Danio rerio: one gene and its partners. The protein of the gene in region 3 interacts with the protein of the main gene of each other region in a pairwise test. Links are inferred from orthologs where the notes say so. Each region holds a gene or a part of one and is shown on either strand. Other genes may lie near its edges.

Evidence for each region. The genes of interacting proteins can lie anywhere in the genome.
Region 1: the proteins of spdl1 (region 3) and ca8 interact in binary tests that used the Homo sapiens proteins (3 or more experiments, as listed by UniProt). The two-hybrid records come from large-scale screens. The link is inferred for Danio rerio from reciprocal best matches to the Homo sapiens genes SPDL1 and CA8.
Region 2: the proteins of spdl1 (region 3) and dnaaf4 interact in binary tests that used the Homo sapiens proteins (3 or more experiments, as listed by UniProt). The two-hybrid records come from large-scale screens. The link is inferred for Danio rerio from reciprocal best matches to the Homo sapiens genes SPDL1 and DNAAF4.

The regions. Positions count from the first base shown.
Region 1 is NC_133177.1:25,089,622-25,095,735, forward strand, and holds part of ca8 (carbonic anhydrase-related protein), read left to right. Parts: intron 1-1,667; coding exon 1,668-1,792; intron 1,793-2,412; coding exon 2,413-2,508; intron 2,509-5,205; coding exon 5,206-5,268; intron 5,269-5,341; coding exon 5,342-5,390; intron 5,391-5,528; coding exon 5,529-5,641; intron 5,642-6,114. UniProt on the Homo sapiens protein: Does not have a carbonic anhydrase catalytic activity.
Region 2 is NC_133193.1:3,049,502-3,055,615, forward strand, and holds part of dnaaf4 (dynein axonemal assembly factor 4), read left to right. Parts: intron 1-330; coding exon 331-461; intron 462-1,410; coding exon 1,411-1,520; exon of another isoform or gene 1,521-1,591; intron 1,592-3,414; coding exon 3,415-3,568; exon of another isoform or gene 3,569-4,916; intron 4,917-5,110; exon of another isoform or gene 5,111-6,064; coding exon 6,065-6,114.
Region 3 is NC_133189.1:43,412,443-43,418,556, reverse strand, and holds part of spdl1 (protein Spindly), read left to right. Parts: intron 1-1,488; coding exon 1,489-1,771; intron 1,772-6,114. UniProt on the Homo sapiens protein: Required for the localization of dynein and dynactin to the mitotic kintochore.

The DNA of each region.
Region 1 (6,114 bases), on a different chromosome or scaffold from region 3:
TGTATAAATCTCAATTTCAGATGATACAAGGTAAAAGAGGCCAGGAATAAGATTAAGTTTGATAGAGTATTTTTTCAGAGACAGTTCTTTTTAAGGACGGCATGGTGGCTCTGTGGTTAGCACTGTCACCTTACAGCAAAAAGCTCACTGGACTTTTTGAGTACCGGCTGGACCAGTTGGCATTTCTGTGTGGAGTTTGCATGTTCTTTCTGTGTTGGCGTAGGTTTCCTTTGGGTGCTCTTGTTTCCCCCAAAGACATGCGCTATAGGTGAATTGGGTTAACAAAACTGGCCTTAGTGTATGAGTGTGTGTGAATGTGAGAATGTATGGGTGTTTCACAGGACTGGGTTGCGGCTGGAATGAATGGCTGTGTAAAACATATACTGGAATAGTTGGCGGTTCATTCTGCTGTGGCGACCTCTGATAATCAGAGACTAAGCTAAAGAAAAATGAATGAATGATTTCTTTTTAATGAAAAAAACATTAAAGATTTTTTAAATAGAAATTTAAAACGTTTTATTTTTATTATGTTATGATTATGTTATGCTATTATTTATTAAAGGTGATAAGAAGATGAAATTTTCAAAATTCTCAAAAAAAATTTTGGTTATGTTTATGCTGTAACACTTTGTTATAAACAGTCTGCATGTATTTATGTGCCTTAATAGCTAGCTATCTAAACTTCACCCACCAGGTTTTGTAAATAGACAGCAAACCATGCCCAGATGAAGATGCTCACAATATCCCATTTTCAGAAGAGGCAACAGCGAAAATGATCAGTATTAAATGTAAAAGTAATGTCCCAGGAAGAGAAAAAAATGTGTGCAAAACATTTTTCTTTGCTGGACTGCCTTATGACCTCAGTCAATTTGAAGCTGAACTCTTAAATGTAAAGGATGCAGCTATACCTATAGGCAGGGCTTGACATTAACTTTTTTGATCAGCAGCCACTGTGGCTAGTAGATTTCCAACATTACTAGCCACTTGTCAGTTTCACTAGCCACACTTTTGTTGTTGGGAAATTATATTTTTATATGCATAAATTTGACTATGACATGTTAAAATTACTTGATTTAGATGTTGTTTCAACACCGATAAATCCGTTTGGATGAGACCACTACAAGTTCACAATGCGGGCTCTCTGCGTTGTCTGCTGAAGCGAGTCGGCATTGTGAAGCCCACTAGTGAAGCCCGGCGTTGTGAAGATGTCCACATGCCTCCTCATTCTTTTCACTTTTTGTGTGTGTGATGAGCTTGTAGTAGGTCATTCTGGGTACTCCTTACATACTGTTTTTTGAATGCTATGAATTCGGACATACTATTCGGCTCTTATCCTGTTTAAAGCATACTATATAATATGGAAGTATGCGATTTCAGATGCAGCTAGACTTTTCATTGAGACCCTGATGTATAATATCATCTTGTCTATATTGGGCATCCAATTGAAGAGTACTAGAAATAAGCAATAACTTTAAAATAGTCTTACTCATTCTCATAAAGGAAGTGTCAAGTAAATGAAATGATTTGACTTTATTTTACTCTAATAGCCTTATATAGTTTTATTATACAGAATGGTTAAAAGACATAAATCTGCTGTGTGTGGGAAACCATATATGCTGCCTGTGTATTGAGCTTGTTTTCTGTCTTTTCTCTGTATGTAATGTCAGTTGTTACTGGAGGTCCTCTCCCCAGTGACCATGAGTATGAGCTGAGCGAGGTGCGCTTTCACTGGGGCAAAGAAAACCAGAGAGGATCTGAACACACTGTCAACTTCAAGGCTTTTCCAATGGAGGTCAGTGTCACTCCGCTATTTCTGTCACCTCATCAGTCACTTATCCATCCTGATCTCTAAAACAATCTAGTTTCACACTACACACCAAAGCACATATTCATTTAGAGAGCCCTATTTACACGCCACCAATTTTCACACTGCATAAGCAAACAGCATGCTGAAAATGTGCTGCAAAACTTGAAACAATTGTATATCCTTGATACAATGAGCCTCGTTTCCTGATTTGCATGTTACCACAAAATTGGACTGCATGTCTGCTACTGCATGTCTGATTTTTAGCTACAAATGCACTTCAATCCTTGTCAAAAACAGTAACAGCACACACTCTGATATGGGATTTGCCATCAAGCGATCTATTCCCATCACCTGCCCCTGGCACCTGCTCTCCTAATCCTGATCTTCTGTACACAATGAAAAAGATAAGAGCCCGTTTTCAATGTGTTACCATGTTTGTCAACCAGTTACCATGTCACGTTTCCTTAAGCTGTTGGCACAACTTCGAGTCAAACCAGTCCTTTAGCAGGATGTAGATAATCAATACCTTCATAATTTTGCATATGTTAATTTCAGAGTTCAGTTTCAGTGCAAATCTCTCAATGAGTAATCAATATCTTTCACAGCTTCATCTAATACACTGGAACTCTACATTATTCAACAGCGTGGAGGAGGCCATGGGCAAGAAAAGAGGCATTCTCATCATCGCCCTGTTTGTGCAGGTATCACACTGAATGGCCTGAGCAGATATGTAAAAAAACAAGCTATAAAAAAACTGTTAATCATGGTCTAAATATAAAAAGATGAAATGGTCACTGGTGATTTGTATTGGTGTGTTCAAGTCATGTCCGGTTGTATTTTTATGAGTTGTAATTACAAGAAGGAAGTGAGATTTGCTTTAAGCCCCAGGTCTCAGAACTGAGGCATGTTGTAAGGAACCATGTTGAATGACATGGAAATGTAGAAGTTCAAACAATGAGTATGTTTACATGGACACTAATAATTAGATTTTAATATGATTAAGATATACTCTTATTAAGAGTCTAGCATGTAAACGGTGCTCTTTGATTACCAGATTTTTGAAACTTTATTGTATTTGTTCTGATTTTCAAATTAGTGTTTGTTTTCTGACCTGTGAGTGTCTGACCAAAATTGTAAGTCATAGAGACATCAAAAATGGCCGGATGGTCCTAAATGTCCCTCAATACTCAGGTGTACATACACACCAAATTTAGCATGTGCCAAAGGAATGCATGGCAAAATTAGAATTTAATTTCATCTAATGGTTTGGAACATAGAGCTTAAATTAGATTCCTAGTCTGTTTCTCAATTCCAAGAACGCAGAGAACGAACTTGCATTTGTTACATAACCAGCAATCTGTTCCTGAAAGATTGCTGGCATACTACACATGACATTCATGAACTACATATTCCAGCATGCCTTTGCACAAACCAGTCACCATTAATCACACACAGCTGAATATCGTCATCATCAATTTGTTTGGACTATTTATACACATTGCACACACCAGTCAATGTGGAATCTTTGTTTGTCAGTACCTGTATGGTTTCAGTGAGTGTCGTCCTGTTTAGTTTGTCTAGTTATGTTTTGATGATTGTTTCGTAACTTTTTGTACTTTGATCATCGCTTTGTTTTTGCATTTTTCGATGCCCTTCATGATACCTGAGTTCTTGTTTTTTGACCTAATTTGTTTTTGCCTGCACGAATAATCTTTTTTCATTAAAAATTGCATTTGGATCCAACGAAGCGTTCTTGTGGAGACCGGTCTTGCCAGGTGTCCTCGGAAGAATGAACTCAGGAGACCGCGAGGACAGAGAATGCGTCCTTTGGGAAATGGGATGCTGCGTTCTTCCTGATGGTCACGTGACCTTCACGCATTTTAAATGGAAATCATTTAAACATTACAGCACTCATACAACGATTTATTGTTTTCCCTTTTCTTCAAAATATATACTTTGCATAAAAACATTATAAATATACTCTGCACAATATAAATAAAAAAATTTTTTGAAACGAATTTCAGCAAACAAACACCCTTAATGTGTTTATTCCTTTTTTAAGATATTCACGTTAATGTTTATTTTCACAGTTTCATTTAGGAAAACTCCTGAGGTAAATAAGTGATATCTCTGAACTTTAATAATAAATCTAAATTAAATGCTGCGCTTCATACCTCCATTCGCAATGACTTCTGGGACTTCCAGAGAGAGTTCGGTGCTCAAGTCTGCATCAGAGCGTCCTCGAAATCATGATCACATCCGGGAAGTTTCACGCGTCCTCCGTACTTGCGGTCTTGAGTATTGGAACTAAACTTAGGCAGCTGATGATGACGTTGCACGAGGACACAAGACCGCTGAAGAACGCATCGTTGTATGAAATCGTTGTATGAAGGCTGTAATGTTTAAATAATTTACCATTTAAAACACGTGAAGGTCATGTGACCATCAGGAAGAACGCAGCATTTCAATTTTCAAAGGACGCGTTCTCTTCCCTCACGGTCTCCTGAGTTCGTTCTTCCGAGGACACCTGGCAAGACCGGTCTCCACAAGAACACAAGTCCGTTCTCTGCGTTCTTGGAATTGAGAAACAGCCTTGGTCCTGGAGGGTCTGCGTCCGGCAGATTTTAGCTCCAACTTGTCTCAAAACATCTGCAAGGATGTTTCTAGAAGCCTAGTAAAGCAGCGGTCACACTGCACTTTTCTCCCCATAGACTTCCATTCATACGCACATAAATGCGTCAGAGCGGAACGGAACACAAGCTTGTGCGACAAGTTTCGCAGTTCGCTGCATTTGAAAGTTCAAGCTTGGTGAACTCGGACCTGCGAAATCTCATCACATGATTGGGTGAGACCAATCCAAGATCAAAACATGACCTCTCTGGACAGGAATTTAAAACATGGACCAATCGCTAGCTTTTTTTTTTTTTTAAATGTCTACTCATCTAATCCTGCCCCTTTTCACAGTGCTGTACTGTGAAGCTGCGGTCACATTAGAGTTTGAGCATGCGATATTCTGACGTGCGGCACTGCGGAAAGGGGCGGGATTAAACAAGAATATTAGACATTTAAAAAAGCGAGTGATTGCTCCAAACAAAGACAGGCACAAAATGCACATTTTCAAAGCCGAATTTCTGACTTTAGCATTGTTTTTCAGATAAGCTAGAACGTTCACTTAGCATGTTTGTCAAATATCTGCAAACATATTATTTTTATGCTTTAGAAAAGTCAAAAACTTAACAAAACACACTTTGCACACTGTTATGAATCATTCTGTTGATGGGAAGTAAAAATCCTGTTTAATGTTTGAATTTATGGAAACAAATACTGTTTCTAGGAGAAACTGAACTGACCATATGTCCTGCTCAGCTGACACGGCTGCTCTAATTTACCCTTTTCAGGTTGGGAAGGAACATCTTGGTCTGAAGGCCATCACAGACGTCCTGCAGGACCTGCAGTATAAGGCAAGCAGAAGAGCAGCTTTAGTAAACACAACACATCCCCTTGTGACCTAAAATGTTTCTTTTGTTTGTACAGGGGAAGACTAAAATAATTCCATGTTTTAATCCCAACACATTACTCCCTGGTAAATGATTTCTTCATTAATAATCCATGATAGTGGTATTAGCATCTTTTTGCATGTTTTTGTTCTTGATGTTTTCTGACTAGTTAAAGTTTATCAGTTTGTATCTGACTGCCTCTGTTGCTATGTTTACACACTCAGATCCTCTATTAAGAGATTACTGGGTGTATGAGGGCTCTTTAACCACCCCGCCCTGTAGTGAGAACGTCACCTGGATTCTGTACCGTTACCCTTTGACCATCTCTCAGATGCAGGTGATGCCTATACAAATATTATTGGGTTGTTGACTTGACTTTGCATTTTCACTGTCACACTTGAAAAAAATGAATGTAATTAGTACTGCGATCATTTTCTTGCATGAAAACTTGAAAATTTGTACATTTTTGAGCCAAATCTTTGGCATTCCACTGAAAATATTGTTTGTTTAGTTGTAGGACCTCATTTAAGATCATGTGACCTCCTTTGAAGCCCATGACATGCACATGTTAAGTGTTTGTCTCAGAATTTCTCACATATTTAACTTTTTGGAACCATTATAAAATTGTTTAAAAAGTTAAATGTTTTGTTGTCCTTTGGTGTGACTCCCCTTTTATTAAAACAAATCTAACAAATTCATCATGTTACTGAGAAAAATATTATTGCTAATTTCATGTAAAACAAATAGCACTATATGAAGATATAAGTGTCCAACAGTAAAGATAAGTCACGCTCATGATATTTGTACATT
Region 2 (6,114 bases), on a different chromosome or scaffold from region 3:
TTAGGGATAATTAGGCAAGTGATTGTATAATGGTGGTTTGTTCTGTAAACAATTTTTAAAAAGTTGCGTAAAGGGGTTAATAATATTGACCTTAAATGTTTTTAATTACATGTTAATTAAAATGTTCTTAAATGTTTAATTACAAACTGCTTTTATTCTATCCAAAATAAAACAAGACTTTCTCCAGAAGAAATCATATTATAGGAGATACTGTGAAAAATTCCTGCATCTGTTCATCATTTGGGAAATATTTTTCCCAAAAAAAAACTTCAGAGGAGGGTAAATGATTTTGACTTTAATTGTACATAATAAGAGTTTTTTTCCTGCTAGGTCAGATGAGGAGTAAACAGAAAACAAAGGATCTTCCGGCTCCCAGATCTGCTGGCTGTATTCAGATCAGCTTCACTCCACGAGTGTTTCCCACCGCGCTCAGAGAGTCTCGCGTCCCCGAGGAGGAGGAGGTCAGATCTATATTAAACAGACATTATTCTGGTCCGGGTGCTGATGATAAATGTGTAATGCTGACCACTGCAAACATCTTGTTAGTGTGTGTGTGTGTGTGTCTGTCTGTGTACGTGTGTACCTATGTGCGTATGAGTGTATGTTTATGTGTACCTGTGCGAATTATACATTGACTATCGGGGGGTCAACTTTTTCGGTAACGATAATGTTAGTTTGTATAACACATGCTTCAGCTTATCACATGTATGCATATTTGTTTAAATGGCAATTATTTTATTAATAAAACATATCTAGGTTTTTAGTGTGGGATATTTAGCGTATTCTGACCTACCTCCGACTAGCTGTTTCAGTGGGTAATGTAGGTCAAACTATACCAACTGTGCAGCTAATTCGATTTTACTTTTAGGCTATGTGTAGATACAAACACCTATTTTACTAGTAAATGTGTATCAATGCTCCAGATCTGCCGCTTTCAGACTGTTGAATGACTTTTCTCTCTCATAGACTGACTGGCGCAATCATGCATTTACAATGGTATGCGCCATTATAGGGGTGGACAGATGCATATTTATATTATCTACTATTTTAATTATTAATGTTATTATTTACGTTACAGATCAGAGCAATAATTGGAATTAATTAGGGGGGTCAATCCCCCCAACCCCCCCTGTCATTTGCACCCAGCCTGTGAGTGTATGTCTGTGTTTGTGCATGTGTTTATGACATAATATAAGGACACAAACTTGAATAATGACATGGTTATAGGCAGAAGGTGTCTTATGAGGACATCTCCCATATTCCCATTTTTTTAAAAGGCTTATAAATCATGCAGAATTATTTTTTTCATGAAGTCAGAATGCACACAATTTTCTGTGAGGGTAAGGTTGGGGTGGAGCAATAGAAAACAGATTGTACAATGTAAAAACCATTATGCCTATGCTTAAACAGTGGTTGAAGAAGCAGGCGGAGGCCAGGAGAGCAATAGACACAGATCTGGCAGAACTGGACGACCTGACAGAGGACGAGAGAAACCCAGACTGGCTGAAAGACAAGGGAGAGTCAGTGTCTTCATGCTGTTTTTCTCTCTTTTGTCTGACTTTTTGCAGTGTGTTGCTGATCAAAGCTTTAGGTCTGTTTTTAATTTTTTTCATAGCTGCATTTATTTGGTTGAAACAGTAAAAATGCAAAACCTTTCAATAATATTTCATTCAAAACAATAACTGCTTTAATATAGTGTGAAATGTAATTTATTACTGTGATTCTATGCTGAATTTTCAGCATCATATCACCAGTCTTCAGTGTCACACGATCCTTCTGAACTCATTATAATATGAAGATTTAACTGTCAAGACACATTTTTCAAATATAACCAATGAATATTAATACATATATTTGATGAATATATGGAGTTATAAAATACTGTTATTACCTATTTATTTGAAATGTTTTATATTCCTTAATGCATCCTTGCTGAAAAAAAATTATAATCTAAAGAGTTTAGATGCCAAAACCTCAAAGTGCCGTCGGAGATTTTCATCTAAAATGAGCATTTTACACTGTTGTGTGTAGTTTCAGTAATTTTCATCGCCCTTAAAGTGAAATAACTGAACATAAACATAAAAACGCTAATTTTAGAGGAACATTTCAGACGGCACTTAAAGGTTTTAATCTGAATTCTTCCTATACATTAATTCAATTCATTTCATCTTTATTTCTGTAGCACTTTTACAATGTAGATTGTGTCAAAGCAGCTTATATAGAAGTTCTAGTAAATGTAAACAGTCAGTCCAGTTTTCAGAGTTGAAGCTTAGTTTAGTTCAGTTCAGTGTGGTTTAATATTTACTGCTGAAAGTCCAAACACTGAAGAGTAATTCATCGATGCTCAGCTCTACAAGTCTCAATCTGAGCAAGCCAGTGGTGACAGTGGAGGAACAAACTTCACCAATTGCAAAAGTGGTGAATGGGCAAAAAATGTATATATATATTTTTTTACATTAAAATATTTTTTCAAAGTCGATATTATATATGAGCAATATCACACGAGTAGCAGTGCGATATGGCTGTATATCGGCACTGGTGGGAGGCGTGCGTTGGCACAATATACAGCCATATCACACTGCTACGAGTGTGATATTGCGTTTATACGACAGTTTGACAGCATAATTGTGTATATAAAAACAAAATCAAACATGGAGAGTCTCAAAAACCCTTTTGTATGAGGAACTACTTTCTTCCGCCTTGGATTCAAATCATAAGCTGACAGTTAAACAGTTGAGCGTGCATCTTTTAAACTTTAGATCTGTAGTGTCTGCTTTTTGCTGGCTGTATGTGGGTGGAGAAATACACAAAGGGTAAAGAGGCTGTACAGGGGCTGATATTACTTAAATATATCACAGCTATCAGCCAATCAGATTCGAGAACCAGACAGAACTGTTGTATGAAATTAAATATTATAATCTTATTCATATATATCTTATATATAAGAGTCTTATCATATTAATAAATAATTAATATAGTCTTATATAGTATAGTAACTTATATAGTTCTTTATATTTTTAAATAAGTAGAACTTGCACTTTTTCCTACAAGTATAGTAAATATTAGCCATGTATCAAAACACTGAGGCCCAGTTTCACAAACAGCGCTTAGATTAAGCCAGGACTAGGCCTTAGAGAAATTAGGCTATTTAAGCCACATTTATAAAATGGCCTTTGAAAATATATTACTGGTGTGCACCTGGAGACAAAAAAATGACACTGACGTATTTTAAGACATCTCACTGCAAGTTATTTTGAGTTGAGACAGCTTTTAAACCTTGACTAGCCTTAAATCTTGTTTGTGAAACCGGGGGTGAATGTTTTACTGTTATTTAATTTATTTTGTGTATATGCTTCCATCACTATAAGATTGCATTAAATCTCATCATCATCTGGTTTGTCTTTTTTCCTGCAGTAAATTGTTCATGGCAGGAAACTTTCTGGCTGCTGTCAACGCTTATAATCTGGCCATAAAACTCAACAGGAAGATGCCGGCTTTATTTTCTAATCGAGCGGCTTGTCACCTCAAACTGAGAAATCTCCACAAGGCCATTGAGGACAGCTCTCAGGTCAGTTCTTTTGGGTATACGTTATGTTTTCATGATAATGTGCTATATGCATATCAGCTAGTGTTTTCCAGCCAGTGATAAACATCCAGTGAAAGCTTCATTTGACTATTTTCAATTTCAGGAGTTTGCTTTAAATACAATTTGTATTGTAATTTAAATACAATCAATTAAATAGACTTCAGCATTCATTTAGTTGATCAAGTGTAAAGCGAGATAGAAGACGCAAGCACCATCAGTAGCAGCAGACGAGCAAAGAAACTCCATTGAAAATACTGGGGTAAAATAAATTGGCATATTTTAAAGACATGGCATGGTAAAATAGAACTTAATGCAGTGCTTCTTGTCCAATAACTGTATATCGTATATCAATCAGGCAGTAAAGATCATTGATTTTTAAAGAAATCAGATCTTATACGTGGGGATTTTGTAATGGTGCAATAGTTTACTGGAAGCACTTCGACTGGCTGGCTGAAAATTAAAAGTCATATACCACATTGGCTGGTCTTTTTTTATCTACCGTGTTGAGCTTTTTTCTATGCTTATGTAACCCCGCCGGTCCTACACCACCCAACCTGCCCCGAGCTAGGATCGAACCGGCGAGGTGGCGACCTCATGGGAGTTGAGTGCTCTAACAAGGAGGCTAAAGACCATGGTCCCTAGCGTCTGTCGCTAGAGCACCTTTAGAGGTCAGAGGAGTGAGGTTTACCTGCACAGCACCTACTGGCTGGCCTCTGTTAAACTCACCCCCCTAAACCTCACTCCCATCCGGGTCACGGCACCAACGTAACCCTGTCGGTCCTACACCACCCAACCGGCCCCGAACTGGGTTCGAATCAGCATCCTTCCGCATGGGAGTCGGGTGCTCTAACAAGAAGGCTAAAGACCGTGGCCTCTAGCGTCTGTCAACAGAGCACCTTTAGAGGTCAGAGGAGTGAGGCTTAGCTAGAGTGAGGATAGCTGGCCTCCGTTACACTTACGAGCGGGCCCAACCATTGCAATCTTTTTAGCTCAAAACTTCCAGTCTCATTCACTTACATTGATTTTTAGATGTTAAAAACTACTTGTTATCCTGCTTGATGCTACAAGCTGACATTTTCTTATCATGTTATTCTCCTTTTTTATGTAGTGTAAAATGTGCGGGTCCTTTAAGGGGCGGAGCTGCAGTTTAGTGTGTGTAAACGGATAGGGAGAGACAGAAAAGAGGAGCAGTTTTTCGCAATGAGACTGCTTTTACTGATGTTCGCTCTTGAGTGACTGATTTTGTTGTACCACATGGATAGTAATCAATAATTGGACCATGTTATATGTAAGGGAGTTAACCCCAAAACTAATATTTTTCGACCCTGGAGTAATAAATGAATTTCCCCCAGCTATCTCAAACACATAGATATATACACTAGATATTGCAAAAAGACCCTGAGCATGCGTCAATAGCGCCGCCACATTTGTACAGTGCTCCCAGGACAAATGTCATTCAACCGCACTAGTCGAGCCAGTATACTATGTGAAGATGCTGGGCTTTAGTGCTGTCTACGGGTGTAGTAACGAGCAAACAAACAAAACAAAGCACAAAGGCAGAACATTTCATAGGTAAGATTAAGTTTTTTACGTTTTTGTATGTTCTGAACTTTTGTGCTAATCAGGTAACGTTGTTGATGATAATACAGTCACTACTGCATTCACCATAAGGCAAAGCAGAAGCAACTCACATTAAACACTCGTCTTATGCTAGTTTTGTTGAATAAAATCAGCAAACAATGCAAAAGAAATATGACAACGAGATGCTGCGCTGCCAGAAACTTGTATTATTGTCAGCTAAGTGAAGAAGTAGTTCATAACGGAGATTCATTCACAAGCAAATCGCTCCCTCCGTCAGTATGAAAAGTGAAAGCAGGAGAGGAGCTGTGTTTCAGGACATGATTAGATCAAATTTAACAGGGAGGGTGGATAGTACATTTCCGAACACACAAACACACGCTTTTTGTCAGGAATGCCCGTGCAGTCACTGATCCATCAATGTAGAAAATGTAAAATTATAATATTTTCGTAATTAAAAAAAAAAATTGTATACTGACCTCCGGGATCATAGATATATGATCCAGATCATAGATACATGTGTATATGTGTATATCTCTGGCTTTGGATGGGCACAGCACAGTCCTTCACTGCAGCTTGGTCCCGCATTCATTTCAAAGGAGCTCTACCCTGTACTAAAATGGCGGCTCTATTGACGCATTCCTTCCAATAGACAACAACCAGCTAGGTGACATCTAATGTATATATCTATGTCTCTAACACAGCAAGGGAACAGAGCAGGAAAGGTTAACAATATTCCTGAACACCATTTTCTGCTCTTTATCATTCCTAGTTATTTCTCCCATAGGCAATTGATTCAGAAGTTTTGAAACAATCGAAAAAATCAAATCAAGTAAAAAAAAACAAGTGCATTTCCGCATTGTAGAATGAGGTCAACAAATGAACACCCTTTTTCCACAGGCGCTTGAGTTGCTGACGCCTGCGGTCTCTGCGAACGCTTCAGCTCGACT
Region 3 (6,114 bases):
ATCATATTAGCTGATCTATAATGTGTACTGCAGTGGAGAAACTAAAGCTGACTAATTTACAACATATAAATTCAACAACTTGTCCTGAAGTTAATGAAAGCGTCTGCTTAATTAGGAAAACAATAGAGTAAATATTCTAGCTTCCTAAAAAGTGTATATCTGATATGAAGAAAGCAATCTGTCAGATGATGGTGCAAAATAATAATATTATTGCCATGGCAGAAAAACTGATTTGAATTCAGCAGAGCTGATCATAAAATGAACTGAATATTCTAATCACACAGGTGTGATTGAACAGCTCTAAGGGTAAAGACACCCCTGTTGTGAGCTTTAACTGAACTCAGTTCTTTTTAATACAATGGTTTTAAAACAATTCTGCTTAACCGCAAAGTTAGTGCAGACAAAAACACTATTCACAACGCTGTACAGAAAAGTCCACCAAACATAAACTCATCGTAAGCAAAATGTGCCAAAAATAAATTAATTGTTCCTTATTTTTTGCCCCAGTGAACACAGCAGATCTCACCAATCTCAAAATACTTACATATTTCTATAAATGCATACATATGCTTGAAATATGTTGTTTTCATAGATGCTAAGAACAACTGCAACTTAAAATGAATGATATAAGGCTGTTAAATGCAAGACAACTTTAGTTAAGTTAGGTAACGGTTAGTTAGTTAAGACCTTATTTATCCCGAATGGAAATATGAACTATAAAATTAATAGTAGATTTTAAATACTTTTTGCTTCAATTTAAACTTTGCAACATTGGGATTAAATTCATAGCTGATTTTGTTTATGACATGACATTATAAACAGTTTTATAGAAATGCCTATAAAAATACTTCTTAAACCACAAACAATTAAAAAGTGAGCGAATACATTTGCATGGCAGGTTTTTTTATAGAGCACATTTCATATACAATGGTAATTCAAGGTGCTTGACATAAACAAGAGTAAAAGTAACAAGAAAATAAAGACAACAATGAATAAAAACATATATAAAATAACACATAAAATGTGTTAAAACAAGTTTTAAAGGAATGAAAAACAAAAGAAGACATAAAAGTGTGTTTTGAGAAGGTCAATGAGCAGTCCATTACAGTAATCCACTCTGCTGGTGGTTAAGAGCATGAACAAGTTTCTGAAACTCATCACTGGAAACAAAGCCTCTAATTCTTACAATGTTTTTGAGAGGTTAGTATGCTGATTTACTTATTTGACATATGACCACTGAAACTCAGATCTGACTCCAGAATCACACCTAGATTGAATTTTTTTTGTTTTTTGACCTATGGAGCCAAGCTACGCATTTACCTTGAGAACCTCATCTCTGTTCCCAAACGCACTGACTTCAGTTTTCTCTTTGTTTAACTGAAGAGCGTTTTGGCACATCCAACTGTTCATATCATCAATGCATTGGTAACTTGCAACTTCCCTCTGTTATCATATGCTGGTCATAAATGTTATGTTGTTTGTTTTCAGAGGTGAACAAAGCACAAGTACAGAAACGCCGTCGGGAGAAGTTTCCTGTTCCAGAAGAAAACTCTGCATCTGTAAAAGACGAAACCACAACCCAGGATACCGAGCCAAGCAAGAACTCGAATGAAAAAGCAGAAGAAAAAACCCCCAGTCATCCTGTCGAGAAGCCAGTTGTGATCCCATTGCAGTCTGAACAACCCACCGAACCCAACCCTGTCCTGTCTCGGGAGAGCAAGTCTGTCCGCATTTGTGAGGATCCTCCAGTATGCATTCCTGATGCACCCAGGTCAGTGCCAGCCTCTGCATGCCAACCCTTCTCCCTTCTGCTGCGCTGTGTCAACTTTACAGTGCTTGTCATCTTCCTCTTCCTGGGTTTTATGAGAACACTCACTCCTCGCCCATCACTTCCTGCTCTACCACTTCCTCTCAGGAATCCTGTAGCTCGAAGGAACTTGCTTTGATGTTTAATCTCATGACTTCTTGGTTTAATGACTGCACATTAAGAAGATTGCTTATTAGAAACTGCTAAATCACTGTGAACGTAATTAATGTTAGAGTCCTAAAAAATAATACACTGTAATGTAATATATTAGAGTACACTTTAAGAGATAGTTAGAGTAGGCATCATTTACTCATCCTGGTGTTGTTCTATTATGCCATAGTATCTTCTTTCTTTTTGGACCACGCGATGTCCTGCTTTTATTTAACCATATCCACATTATTTTTTCATTTAAAACCACACATGGCCATTTGTAAATGTAAGGTGCCTGGCTTTTGGAGTTATTTTAAACTACGGCTGAACAATATATTGTTTAAGCATCGATATCGCAATGTGTGTATGCACAATAGTCCCATAGTAATATTAGATTATTAATTAAGGATTAAAAGATAAAGATATTATTATATAAATTTTAATTATTGTATACAAATATTTATACAATAATGACTATATTATTTTATGTTTGATTGCTTAATTTCTGTGTTTAAATACTGTTTGATTCTCCAAAAAACTATTAAGGATTAGTTATTTAACTTTTATTTTTGCTTCATTTGTATACAGTGGGGAAAATAAGTGTTTAACACTTCACAATTTTTCTCTGCTAAAACATATTTCAAAGGTGCTGTTGGCTTGAAATTTGGCCTGGATGTTGGTAACAACCAAAGAAATCCATATATGCAAAAAAAAAAAATTCTAATTAGTGTGCAAGTTACGTTTTGCATAATAAAATCAAATGACGCAGGAAAAAAGTATTGAACACATGAAGACAGGGAGGTGTAGAAAAGTAGCGAAAGGCCAGACAGCAGCTGAAATCTCTCAATAGTCATTCAGCAACCCTCTACCCTTCGTCATTGTAAATTAATATTAGCTGCTTTATTCCAACATCTACATTAGCAGGATGATGAAGATGAAACCAGGGTGGATGTTTCAGCAGGACAATGCTCCAAAACACAGCCATGGAATCTCTCAAATGCTTTCAGAGAAAGAAAATCAAGCTGTAGAATAGCCCAGCCAATTATCTGACTTGAATCCAATAGAAAATACAAATTAAAGATCAGATTTGATAGACGAGATCCACAGAACTATCAAGATTTTTATATTCTGTTGAAACAATTCATGTGACTTCATTCCCCATATGAGAGGCGTCTTTAAGCTGCCATTACCCCCTCAAAAATTATTTTATATAAAGTATTAAATATGTTTTATAGTTCAGTTCTTTCTCTCTCAGAAATATTATTCCCAGAAAAAAATTCAATACGTGGTCCTAGAATTCCTAGACGTTTTCAATACTTATTTTACCTGCTGAATGCTTATAATTTATTATATTAAAAAGACTTGATCAACCCAGTCAATCTACTTTAATGAAATATTTTCAAATAGAGCTATTCAAATCACCTGGTGAAATTATATTTATATTCATACATATATCGCAACAAAACAAAATAATCGCACTGAAAGATTTTTCCAATAACGTGCAGCCCTATTTTAAAACTGTACAAAACAGCTTGTTTTGGTGCTGTACTGTATATCATAAACTTTAGTTAAAGGGATAGTTCACAAAAATTTAAATGTATTCACTATTTACTCACCCTTAAGTGGTTCCAAACCTTTATGAGTTTCTATTTTCTACTGAGCCTAAATGAAGATATTTTAAAGAAACTCTTAACCATTGACTTCCATACACTAGTAGACAACAAATACGATACTATGGATGTTAATGGTTATGACCCCAGTCATAGAGTCTCGCCGCTTGGCAGGTCTGCCTTGCCTTCGGAAAACGCGTACTCTTATAAATAATTAAGCAGCAGGGTCTTATCATAGGATTAGAAAACTCCGCTGTGAATAATAATGAAAAAACAGACGTGTCATCACTACACTAGCCGAATATCGCTACGTCACTGATTTTGATCCCGCCCCAAAAATCTTTTTAAACCCGGAAGATGAAATTAGCTGACAAGCTCAAATATATCCAGTTTTCCCACAATTAAAGCTGACAGCTGCTAATGATGCTTAACACACACAAATCAACACAAAAAAGTACTCCAGGTTGTCTTGAACCTTTAAAGGTTCTTTGTGTTTTGTACTTTGTGCATTTAAATGTGCATTTAAAATTATCCCTGACATAATTAACATGCTGGTTTGTAGCACTAGGTTTAGCCATTTATTGCACTATAACAATGAGCATTAAGCTTTTTAATAATAAAAACAACATCAGAAAACTCTAAAATGATGTGTTTTATATTCCAGGGGCCTCATGTATGAAGACTTGCGTGGAAATCATACTAAAACATTGCGTACGCACAAAGCTGTAAATGTGCGTACGCAGAAAAAAATTCAGACGTATGAAACACTGCGTACGCCGAATCTCACGCATATTCTTTTGTACATCTGAATGAACGTGAAACTGAGCGCAACATGCACGAGCACAAAACCCCTCCCTGCCTCCTCCCCCGTATGAATATTAAGGGTGTCACGATCCTCCAAATCCACGATTCGATTACATTTTCGATTCTAAAGGCACGATTCGATTATGAATAATTAATTAATTAATGACCAATTCATTATTTGTAGCCTACCGTTTAAACTACCTGAAATGCATGGTCTTTGTTTTACCCATAAACAAATCATACAGTAAATGAATAAAGGCAAGAAGCACACATAATTACCACCTGTCAATCACTTTTTTTGCGGGACTTGTGAATAGACAGTGATCTGTGTCGTTATTATGGCGTTGGTAAAAAAGGTGCACAACCAACAGGAACCAGCCAACAGTATCCGAGGTGTTCGCTAAAATGACTAAGTACAAGTGAGTGAGGGAAAGATTGAAGCAGTCCTCTGACAGCCTGGACCTGATGTCTCGAACGCAAGGCTGTATGTGCGTCTCTGTCTGTGTGGTCACGTGATGTGCATTTTCAGGGGTAGAGAGGAAGGAGGGCTGCTCAGAAATGCTACACACCACTGTGGATGTCAAATCGTTGTCGTTCTAAAATGCCATTTAAAAACAAAGACAGTGTAAACAGGGCCTGAGTGTGTAGCGGATTTGCAACGGGGGAGGGTGGAGGATCACGATGCCGGTGTTGTCTATCGGACGAACCGTACGTAATACGTACATAGCAGAGCTTGCAAAACTGTGTTTTTTTTTGTCGACAACACGAACGTTGTCAACATAACTCACTGGAAATCCAAAATGCTTACACACCGGCGACTTCATTGAAAGAGGAGAGGGTTTAAGTTCTGTCGACGGGTCTCCTGCTTCTGCAGTTCAGCACTTCAACAAGCCTGTTTTTTTCCCGCTTGGCAAGCCAAGCTGACGTGACATGGGGGCGTGGCAGCATCGACGATTCTATTTTTTGATTCGATAATCGAAATTGAGCATAAATTTCGATCGATTTCGATTAAAAATCGAAATCGTGACACCCCTAATGAATATGCAAATGACTCTACTTTGGCAAAACCCAACGAAAAATAAAAGCAAAAGCAAGCAAGCAAGAAGAGAAACTTTGAACAGAATGTGAATTGGAGGTGCTCCTTTCAGAGGTAGACCGGAGAAAGGCGGTGTTATTTGCAAGTTTGTTCTCCGGAATTAACAACAAAAGAAAAAAAATAGAGTGGGAGAGTTTAACTGATGCGGTTAACACAGTTGGGTCTGAACATCGCACTGAGTAAATTGGAAAAGAAATAGTGTAATTTATAGGTGTAAAATGTTGCAGCACCCTTAACAGTCTCATTGGTGCAGCTCGTAAAACGCATGTCAACATGTTTTGACACGTTCGAGCATGAACTCGGTTCGAATCCAGCGTCTTATGAATCCACTCTTTCTTCTTTTTTCCCCCGCTACATATCAGATTTTGCCAACTATTTATCACGAGAAAGACAAGTAGGAATCATTAATAAGTTTGTGCATCATATTTTATTTGCACATTTATTGAATGGAAATGTTTCTGATTCACGCATGCAAATTCATCTTCAGATAGTGTCTTTATAGCAATGTGCGTGCGGTAGATCGCTCGGATTACATTGGGAAAACAGGCGACTGCTGCAAATTGTGCTTTAATGTTTAGCTGCTCAACTGTATGGTATGGAAACCTTATATACCTGCTAGATGAACCCGTCTCATACAGCTGCCATTG